Linked DNA regions of Mus musculus. Each later gene encodes a partner of the first gene's protein in a complex. Links are inferred from orthologs where the notes say so. Each region holds a gene or a part of one and is shown in the gene's direction. Other genes may lie near its edges. The genes, in order: Cnot10, Cnot8 and Cnot7.

What was found.
Region 2: Cnot10 (region 1) and Cnot8 share a complex: the UniProt entries of both Homo sapiens proteins name them as parts of the CCR4-NOT complex. The link is inferred for Mus musculus from reciprocal best matches to the Homo sapiens genes CNOT10 and CNOT8.
Region 3: Cnot10 (region 1) and Cnot7 share a complex: the UniProt entries of both Homo sapiens proteins name them as parts of the CCR4-NOT complex. The link is inferred for Mus musculus from reciprocal best matches to the Homo sapiens genes CNOT10 and CNOT7.

What each region holds. Positions count from the first base shown.
Region 1 is NC_000075.6:114,626,697-114,630,350, reverse strand, and holds part of Cnot10 (CCR4-NOT transcription complex subunit 10), read left to right. Parts: intron 1-1,193; coding exon 1,194-1,344; intron 1,345-2,815; coding exon 2,816-2,958; intron 2,959-3,654. UniProt on the Homo sapiens protein: Component of the CCR4-NOT complex which is one of the major cellular mRNA deadenylases and is linked to various cellular processes including bulk mRNA degradation, miRNA-mediated repression, translational repression during translational initiation and general transcription regulation.
Region 2 is NC_000077.6:58,110,324-58,113,977, forward strand, and holds part of Cnot8 (CCR4-NOT transcription complex subunit 8), read left to right. Parts: intron 1-936; coding exon 937-1,130; intron 1,131-2,728; coding exon 2,729-2,890; intron 2,891-3,626; coding exon 3,627-3,654. UniProt on the Homo sapiens protein: Has 3'-5' poly(A) exoribonuclease activity for synthetic poly(A) RNA substrate. Its function seems to be partially redundant with that of CNOT7.
Region 3 is NC_000074.6:40,491,962-40,494,832, reverse strand, and holds the end of Cnot7 (CCR4-NOT transcription complex subunit 7), read left to right. Parts: intron 1-717; coding exon 718-846; 3' UTR 847-2,295; downstream 2,296-2,871. UniProt on the Homo sapiens protein: Has 3'-5' poly(A) exoribonuclease activity for synthetic poly(A) RNA substrate. Its function seems to be partially redundant with that of CNOT8.

The sequences.
Region 1 (3,654 bases):
AGTCATCCTGGGCTATATAGAATGAGATCTATATCGGAAATGTATTTATTTTTTAAACATTGGGAAGCTGGGCTAGAGAGGGCTTAGCATTCAGAGTTAGAACACATACTGCTCTTGCAGAAGTAAGACCTAGCAGCCATGTGGGATCTGGCAGGCAGGCTTGTACCCTACACACATGCATGCAGGGGAAACAGTCATACACAAAATAAAATAATTCAACCTAAAAGTGGGCAGGGGAAAGAAAATAAATGAAAATATTGGGCCAGTGAGATTGCTCAGAGGGTAGACGCACTTGTGACACAAGCCTGTCCTCTGGGCTCCATATGTGACTGACACTGGTCCACCCTGTCGTCGTGTGCTGAAGAGATGCTCAGTGGTTCAAAGCACTGGCTACTGCTCTCCCAGAGGACCTGGGTCTGGTTCCCAGCATCTGGGTGGTAGCTCACAAGCATCTGTAACTCTAGTTCTGGGGCATCCAATGCCCTCTTCTTGCCTTTGAGGTGTACATGCATACCTGCAGGCACACACACGGGAAATAAAAACAAAATCCTTTTTAAAGGCTTATTCTAACCACCTACTGCAATGCAGCCGCTTGGGTTTTGTTGCTTGCTATTTTTTAAAACAGAATTGTTATTCCATGAGACTAGACCCTTAAATATACCCTGGTTTTGGACAACATAATTAAGACTAATCTCTCTCATTTATAAGATAAATATTTGTATTCTCACTATGTAGCTTTGGGGACTAATTAAAACCTGAAGGTACTATTTTGTCCTTGTTTTTTTTTTTTTTTTTTCAGACAGTTTCTCTGTCGCTCTTGCTGTCCTTGAACTCGCTCTGTAGAGTAGGCTGGCCTGGAACTCAAGGATCTGCTATCTCTCTCTGCCTCCCTCCCAGTGGTGGGATAAGGACGTGTGCCACCAGCCTGACAGAGGTATTATGGCAGTGTAGGAAAATCAAATAAGATGTGTTGGAGCCGGGCATGGTGGCACACATCTGCACCCACAGCTATTCAAAGGCTGGCCTGGAACTCACTGTGTAGCCTCAACTGACCATGACCTTGTGTTAGTTCTCCTGCCTCAGCTTTAGGTGCTGAGCTTATGGGGGTGTGCCACACACCTCGCTGAGTTCTTTGCCTTTTGCTGTTTGTTTCCTTGCTGTTGTTAGAGTGCATTCTGCCCGGATTGTTTCAGGTCCACTCGGCTGTTGAAGAGATGGATGGGTTAGACGATGTTGAGAACAGCATGCTGTATTATAACCAGGCTGTCATTCTCTATCATCTGCGCCAGTACACGGAGGCCATATCTGTCGGCGAGAAGCTCTATCAGTTCATAGAACCTTTCGGTATGTCCTCTCTTTCTTGCAAATTTCTCTATTGCTTTTATCTAGATGACCTAAATCTGAGCTATATGTTAGCATTTAAAGGGGGAGAAAGAATGGGAGAAATACATAACTCAGTAGAGTGCTTGCCCTGTGAGTGTGAGGGCCTGCATTCGGTGCCGAGTCCACATGAGAATAGCTGGGCCTGTGGACATGGCTGTAATCCATGGGGAGGGCACAGGCGGGTGTGTTGAGAATTCTGGCTAGATAGCCTGGCTTTCTTAGAGAGCTCCAGGCTAGTGAGATGCCTGCCTCAGACAACTAGAGTCAGGGACTGGAGAGATGGTAAGAGCACCAGCTGCTCTAGTGCATGAGTTCAATTCCCAGCACCCACACAGCGAGCTGCTCACTCTGACAAGATCTGATGCTTTCTTCTGGCTTCATCAGGCAGCCAGCATGCATGGCGTGCACAGACATACATGCAGATAGAACAACTAAAGTAAACAGTGCCTAAGGAGCAACAGCAGAGATTCCTCGTCTTCCACACACGTACACACATACTCAACTGCACACCTTTGTACACACATAGAAAATGACCAAAAACAACAGAATAAAGCTGTTTCCACAATTCTAAATTTGTTTTTAGTCTAGAGAAGGCCAGTTTTCCTTTAGCACTCTTTCCCACCTGGTGTTTAAAGGTCCCCCACATGCTGTCACATGCCTGTAATCCTAGCCTCCTGGACTCGGGCAGGAGGACCAGATGTTTGGGGTCATCTTCTGATACAGCCTAGGTTTGAGGCCAGCCTGGGCTTCGTGAGACTCTATCAAAAAGGAAGGATGGGACAAAGGGAAGGAAGGGTGAAAATGAACTGTTGGGTAGTGCAAAAACTTCTTGTCTCTTCCTTGCTGTTGAATACTCTCCTCTTAGGGACCTTTCATACCTTAATTTACATGAAAGATTAGGAGGGCTGGACAGTGGCTCAGTGGTTTGGAGTACTTTCTCTTGTAGAGGATCTGAGTTTGGTTCCCAGCCCTACTTGGCAGCCAACAACTGTCTGTAACTATGGTTTCAAGGGATCCAATGCCCTGTTCTGGTCTCAGCATGCATCAAGAATACACATGTATACAGGCAGGAATTTTGGTCATTTTCTATGTGAGTTCATGGGTGAACAGTTGAGTATGTGTGTATATGTGTGTAGAAGACAGGAATCTGTGCACACTTATAACACTCATGCACATAAAATAAGCATTCGTTCGCCTTTAATCCCAGCACTTGAGAGGCAGAGGCAGGCGGATTTCTGAATTCGAGGCCAGCCTGGTCTACAGAGTGAGTTCCAGGGATAGCGTGCTGCTTTCAGTCATGGCTTTAGTGGCATCCTTTGCTTGGGGGAAGACATGCTTCATTTTGCAGGGTGGTGTCCTGTTTGTGGGTAAGCAGAGATGTATGCTCAAGCTTGGACTGTAACTTTTCCTATTTGTGTGTTTGTTTTGCCAGAAGAAAAATTTGCCCAAGCGGTGTGCTTTTTGCTCGTAGACTTGTATATATTAACCCACCAGGCTGAGAAAGCTCTGCATCTTCTTGCCGTCCTAGAAAAAATGATTTCACAGGGTAGCGGTGGCAAAAATGGGAAGAACGAGGTGAGTTCCAGGCACTGGACTTAGAAGTGTGACCAGTGTCTGTTGTATGAGGTAGTATCCTAGCAGCTTATGAGATGGCATTCACAGAAAGTAATATCTGACTTACCCTTGTAAACTGTGTGTAAAATGTTCCATTTATTAATGTTTGCATGTTTCACATTTCTCAACCCAACAGGGTATGTTAGATTCCAGTTGAATGCTCTCAGCTTCACTCCTAAACCTTGTGTTGTCAAATATTTCATTTTCATAATATTTAGTACTGTTAATATTTGGTGAAATAGGCCTTAAGTTCAGTAGGGGTGTGTGTGGTGTGTGTGTGTGTGTGTGTGTGTGTGTGTGTGTCTGTGTGTCTGTGTGTGTGTGTGTCTGTGTGTGTCTGATCTGACAGTAGGAACACTGTATGCAATCCTTGTCCTTTGGGCCCTCTGCTGGGGAGGGGCGGATGGAGTACAGTGAGTTGAACAGTTTGACCTATCAGAAGAGGAGGGGTGGAGCCGAGGGACTTGTAGGCTGGGAAGGGAGCAGTGTCTGCAATGGGCAGTGGCTGGGGCATTTTCCCACTGCAGCCAAGGGGCTCTGCGGTCAGGACGGTGGGAGACTGAGGGCTTCCTCAGGAAGCTGGGCTTCAGTGGTGCTGGCTAGAAAGAGACAGGGTCTGGCTTGGGCTTTAGAGGCGTAGTCTTGAGTGGCACCTGT
Region 2 (3,654 bases), on another chromosome or scaffold:
CACAAAAAAGGCAGGAGATGTCACATTGCAGATCTGGTGTCTCTGGGTAAAGTGGGAAGGACTGGTACTGTGTGGCTTATTTTCCTGCCCAATGGCGGGTTAGGTGGCACTCTTCTTAGGCCAGCCCCTGAGCACGCAGGTGCTCTGTTTTACTCCAGGCTTGGAGCTTGCCACTGTCTGTATTCAAACCCTGCTTTCACTCCTCTGTCCATAAGAGGCACTAGCCTTACAAGCTCTCCCAGCAGGTTAAGATCCTGTCATCCCAAACACTGGGGGTGAGGGTGTGGGGTCAGGAGTTCAAGATCAATGAGTATAGGCCAGTCTGAGCTTTACAAGGGTATAAAAGGGTTTTATGTACACACGGCAGTGAAATAGTCACTCAGGAAAGAGGAAGGCTGCATTTGTCCTTTATAAAAACATTAGACCAAGGTGGGAGCTCTGAACAGCAGGCCATGAGCCGGGCTTCTCTTTCAAGTATACGTCACACCAAGAAGCTGATGGGATGGAGCGAAGCCCCTGTGAGCCACCCCATCTACTTGGCTGTATTTGTATTTAACTCATATTGGAAGGTCCTATCTGAAGGCTAGAGAGATGGCTCAGCAGTCGAGGGCACTTGTTCTTCCTGAGGACCATGGTTCAATTCACAGCACCCATATGATAGCTCACAACTGTCTGTAACTCCACTTCCAGGGGATTTGACCCTCTCCTACAGACACACATGCCACCAGTGCACTTGAAGTAAATGAATAAGTGAAAAAAGACGTTCCTACCTGAGCGCAGCTCCCTCTAGTCACCCATTCACCTGTCTGGGTTCTGTTGTGTTCTAGACCTTGGGAGCTTATCTTGGGCTTCTGTAAACTGAAGAGCAATTTTGCTCATGGGTTGCTGAGCACCACTGTTTGCTGAGGCTTAATGGTAAGAGGCTTTTGTTCCTAGGACACAGAGTTCCCAGGTGTTGTTGTACGGCCGATCGGTGAATTTCGAAGCTCCATAGATTACCAGTATCAGCTTCTGCGGTGCAATGTTGATCTTCTTAAAATCATCCAGCTGGGCCTTACGTTCACCAATGAGAAGGGGGAGTACCCGTCTGGAATCAACACATGGCAGTTCAACTTCAAGTTCAACCTGACGTGAGTGTCTTGGGAGACCCTCAGTGTTACTAGACAGCTGAGTTTGAGTGGGCTGGTTGCTGTAAGCTTTACTAATCATGTGGTTTTTGGGATTGAGGTGGGAGGAGACATGGTTTCTCTCTATTATGTTGCTCTGAGTGTCCTGAAACTTGCTATCTTTTTTTTTTTTTTTTTTTTTTTTGGTTTTTCAAGACAGGGTGTAGTCCTGGCTGTCCTGGAACTCACTCTGGAGACCAGGCTGGCCAGAGACCAGGCGGTCTCAGAAATCTGCCTGCCTCTGCCTCCCAAGTGCTGGGATTAAAGGCGTGTGCGACCACGCCCAGCTCTTTTTTCTTTTTTTTAAAAGATTTATTTATCTTTTATGTATGTATGTGAGTACACTGTAGCTGTCTTAAGACACACCAGAAGAGGGCATCAAATCCCTGTACAGATGGTTTTGAGCCACCGTGTGGTTGCTGGGAGTTGAACTCAGGACCTCTGGAAGCAGTCGGTGCTTTTAACCGCTGAGCCAGCTCTCCAGCCCCCAGCCCAAGATTTTTAACTGTTTTTTTTTGTTTTGTTTTGTTTTTTTGTTTTTGAGACAGGATTTTTCTGTGTAGCCCTGGCTGTCCTGGAACTCACTTTGTAGACCAGGCTGGCCTTGAATTCAGAAATCCTCCTGCCTCTGTCTCCTGAGTGCTGGGATTAAAGGCATGCGCCACCACGCCTGACCTTAACTGTTATTTTGTGTATTAATGTTTTGCCTGCATGTATATCTGTCCATCATGTATGTGCCTGGTGTCCACAGCAGTTAGCAGATCCCTGGGACTGGTAGTACGGATGGTTGGGAGCTAAGCCTGGGTCTTCTGTCACGGCAGCAAGAACTCGTAGTGCTGAGCCTCATCTCCAGCCCTGCCTTTTGTTTGTTTTATAAATAAACTTCAGGGGCTGGAGAGATGGCTCAGTGGTTAAGAGCGCCGACTGCTCTTCCAAAGGTCCTGAGTTCAAATCCCAGCAACCACATGGTGGCTCGCAACCATCCGTAATAAGTAAACTTCAGGGTTAGTTCTGTCTCAAGTTTGTTTTGTTAAATTCTACTGTAAATAATATAAAGAAGTGTAAATATGATTAAAAATTAAAAAAACCAAAGGCCGCATAGATGATAGTTCAGTGGTTAAAAGCCCAGGTTGTTCTTCCAGAGCTCCTGAGTTCAGTTCCCAGCAGCCACGTGGGCACTCTCTGTCTGTGATGGGCCTGAATGCCCTCTTCTGGTGTGCAAATATACAGACAAACATCCATATACATAAATAAATAAATATTTAAAAAAGATGAAAAACAGCATAAAAAAAATGTGTGGCTCAATGGTTAGGACACCGGCTGCCCCTCCAAAAGATCTGAGCTCAATTCCCAGAGCTGGGCTCACAATTGTTTAACTCATTCATTTACATAAAACACAATTTTAAGCAAGAGAATATAGGTTTTCTGTAATTAGGAAATACAAATCTGCTGGTTTTTGGAGTGTTTCAGGAGTTCTGTGTTTCCGAATCATAAGCTAACCATAACATCTCTCCTGCTTTGGTCTCACTGCCGCCAGCTCATAGTGACACCTTGTTTTTCAGAGAGGATATGTACTCCCAGGATTCCATAGATCTGCTTGCAAACTCAGGGCTGCAGTTCCAGAAACACGAGGAGGAAGGGATCGATACACTGCACTTTGCAGAGCTGCTTATGACATCGGGAGTGGTTCTCTGTGACAACGTCAAGTGGCTTTCATTTCACAGGTCAGTCCACGGGAACTGTGGCCTGTCTCTTCAGCATAGCTTCGCCCTTCTGACTGTAGGCTGCACTGGGGAGGAACTAAATTCTTGTTGATTTGAGTCCTCCTGGCTTTTTGGAAGCAGCAGTGAGGTGGTGTTGGTGTTCCTGTGTAGTGTTTGGGAGCACGTGAACACGCACATGGGCTTTGCATCACTTGACCTGCAGTGCTGTAGTGGCTGTGCAGTGCTGTCTTCCAGGTGGATGGAGGCTGCTGTGGGCTCGGTTATTTTCAGCCTGGTGTGGCTTGTCCTTTGAAATGTCCTCAAATACAGATATTCTTTAAATACTTTTTGGAAGGTGTTTATTTTTAAAGGGTATGTGTGTGTGTGGTATGTATAGGTATGTGTGTGAGTACCTAGGGAGCCAAAAGAGGATGCTGGGCCATTGCAGGTAGACTTACAGGCATTTGTGAGCTGTCTGACCTGGGTGCTGGGATTGGAACTCTGATTCAAAATTTCTCTTTAGGTGACCCTTCTCCTGGGCTCTTACGGCTTTACTTTTGAGTTTTGATTAATCAAATTCACACAAACTCTCAGGTTCTTGTGTGTTTCTCATCGTAGCTTTCCTTATGTAAATTTCCTCACTGAATGTAAAGCTGAGATCATCAGTGCTCTTTGAGAGGCCCAGCCCCCAGCCTGAGGTGGTGGTTTAAGGCTGGACTGAGGCTGCTTTCAGACATCTGCTTTATTCCTCCTTTAGTGGTTATGATTTTGGCTACATGGTAAAG
Region 3 (2,871 bases), on another chromosome or scaffold:
CAGTATAGGACCACCTTTTGGATTTTTTTTTTTTTTTTAGTTTTTTTGAGACAGGGTTTCTCTGTTTAGTCTTGGCTGTCCTGGAACTCAGTTTGTAGACCAGGCTGGCCTCGAACTCAGAAATCCACCTGCCTCTGCCTCCTGAGTGCTGGGATTAAAGGCGTGCACCACCACTGCCTAGCTGGATTTTTATTTTAAAATGTCTTATGGCTAGTCAGTGGTGGAATTCTGGCACCAGTTTGTTATCCTTATTTTCCTTTTTATTGTCTTCTTCAAGGACAGTGATGTAGTGAGAGTGTTAAGGTTTACTGTCTATACCATGCTTAGGATTTTGTTAATTTTAGTCAGTTCACCCTTGCACCTAGACTTAAGACAACCTAAGATGGTATAATGTCTCCTCCCCTTCTCGACATTACTTCTCATATTCTGTGAAGTTTGTTATGTTAAAGAAATGAAAATGTCTGCCATGTTTTTTATGCTCATAAGTTCTTATTAAAATGAGGTAAATGTTAACGAAAAATATTTTTGCTTTTTAGAACGTGTCCTTTAGGCCTGTAGTTAAGGGCATCAGTCAGTCTTATTTATTAAATATGCAGCATAGCTTCTCAAAGGAACATCACAGAAAGAGTTAGTAGCAATTACAGTGTTGAGATGTAAACTACAGGTTGTATCATTTGCTTAAGATGATTTTTTTTTCTTTCAAAATTTTCTTTTTAGATGTTCTTTGAAGATCACATTGATGATGCCAAATACTGTGGTCACTTATATGGCCTTGGTTCTGGCTCATCCTATGTACAGAACGGCACAGGGAATGCATATGAAGAGGAAGCCAGCAAGCAGTCATGACAGGAAATAGTCTTCTTATTTTTATTTTATACGAGTTACACACATGCTTGTATATAGGTTTTATCATCCCTTAAATAATAGGCAATACCCCCCCCCTTTTGTAGACCTTCTCTGCTTTCAGTAATAAGTATGGCCTTTCTTAGCTATGATCTTAATAAATTAAAGTACATTCAGGTTAAATCTGGCCTTAATTTAATACACTTCTTATCAAGCTTGTGTGACAAAGCTACATTACTGAATAATTTGATAAACTTTGCCTACTTGAGCTTGGTTTTGTTTTTCCCTTTTCCTAAATTAACTAGCATTGAGTGTAATTTATTTCCCTCTTCCATGCCTCTCCTTCTATTCTGCAGTACTTATAGGTATTTAAGATTGTGGACCATCAAGTTTGCACTTTAGAGAGTGATTTCAATCCTCTATTTTATCAGAAATTGTGATTTTTCTTGCTCTTAGCTAGAAAAATAACCATCTACCACCTTTTTACAGTATTTGCTTGTTTTTGACATTCAGAGTACAGCACGTGCATTGTGCAAATTGTTCAACAGGAATAACAGAAAAAGACAAGGAACTACTGAAGAGCCTAGTAACTACTGTTTCTGTGTGTAGTGTTTAGCCTTCCAAGCACATCTCATGTCTGTTGGTTTCTAATTGGCATGCATAGGCTGCTATGTGACTGAAGAATTTCAAACCAGCTTTACACCCTTCAGGAAGAAGCCCTGTGATTGGCTATCTCCTCTCTGCCAGAAGGCTGGCCATTAAGATGTTGGAGCTCCAGTTTTATGACAGCACCGCCTCCCTTGATCGGCTTCCTTTTACTCCATCACTTTTACCCTTACTGTTTTATTTTATAAACATATTTATGATGTTCTTGATTTGTTAACTACACAAATCAATTTCATTAAAGTCCAAAGATAACAAGTCTTAAGGTACATTTTATATCAATAAAAATACAAAATAAATGTGATTTCATAAATGCTACAAAAATAAATAATGGAGAGATTTGGTGCAAAACAACAAAATGCAAAAAATATATATAAATACACACATATATAGCTAATAAAATTACCTGAGGAGTGTAATGCTTGTTTATTTTTTTGTGTATATCTTTGCAATCTATTTTATATATATTGACAAGAGACTGTGAAATATTTAGCCATGCAGAATATGTGACCAGACCAGAGCATGTGTTGGAAGATTTTGGTGAACATTAACTCTACCCTGAAGTGATGGACTACAAGTTGTAATGTGTGTTATCTACACTTCAATCGATATTAGCAAGTCTCCAACTGTTAGCAACATAGTTCGTTTCCCTTGTACATTCTGTAAACATGATATGAAAATGCTGTACCTGGGCGGTCCTTTTTAAACTAAACATTATTTGCAAAACAGAGGGTATTATTTGTTTTTAAAGCTTTTGTAAATAAAGGCTTCAAAAATGTTTTCCTATATGGTTGTGACTGATGGCTTTGGTTTTGGGGCTCTTATTTAGAAGTGTTGAATACTTGAGCCATTTTCTTTGGGTAACAGGACTTCACTAGGTGGTGTGTGTGTTCTCAAAAGATTGGTTTAGTTTTTATTAGTGTTCAAAGTTGCAGTAAGGCCAGCTGATCCATAAATCAGTTCTCCAGCCCAGAGCCTGGGCCATAAAGCCTGGCACTCTGACCCCTTTGTATCAACTGTATTCCTTTCCTTGCCCTTTGTTAATTACCTGACTGAAAGAAATTAGAAGTCTCTGGGTGTAGAAGCTCACATCCGTAATCCTGCTGTTGTGAGTGACTGTCCTGAGTCAATTTCCACTGTCTTGGTGTGTTCAGCTGCACTCCCTTGCAAAAGGATTTTTCCATGCTGGTCTTTATCTGATTACATCCCGTTTAGGCAGGATGGAGAAGGCCAAAATAGCCTCACTTGAGTATCCAGACACTATACTGTTGCGCAGCTTTTCCTTAGTTGTACACGTCCTGGGAGAGGCTAGAGGTTAGAGACCTGGAAGATTAGGGGAAAGGAGTATATGCAGATAATGAGAAG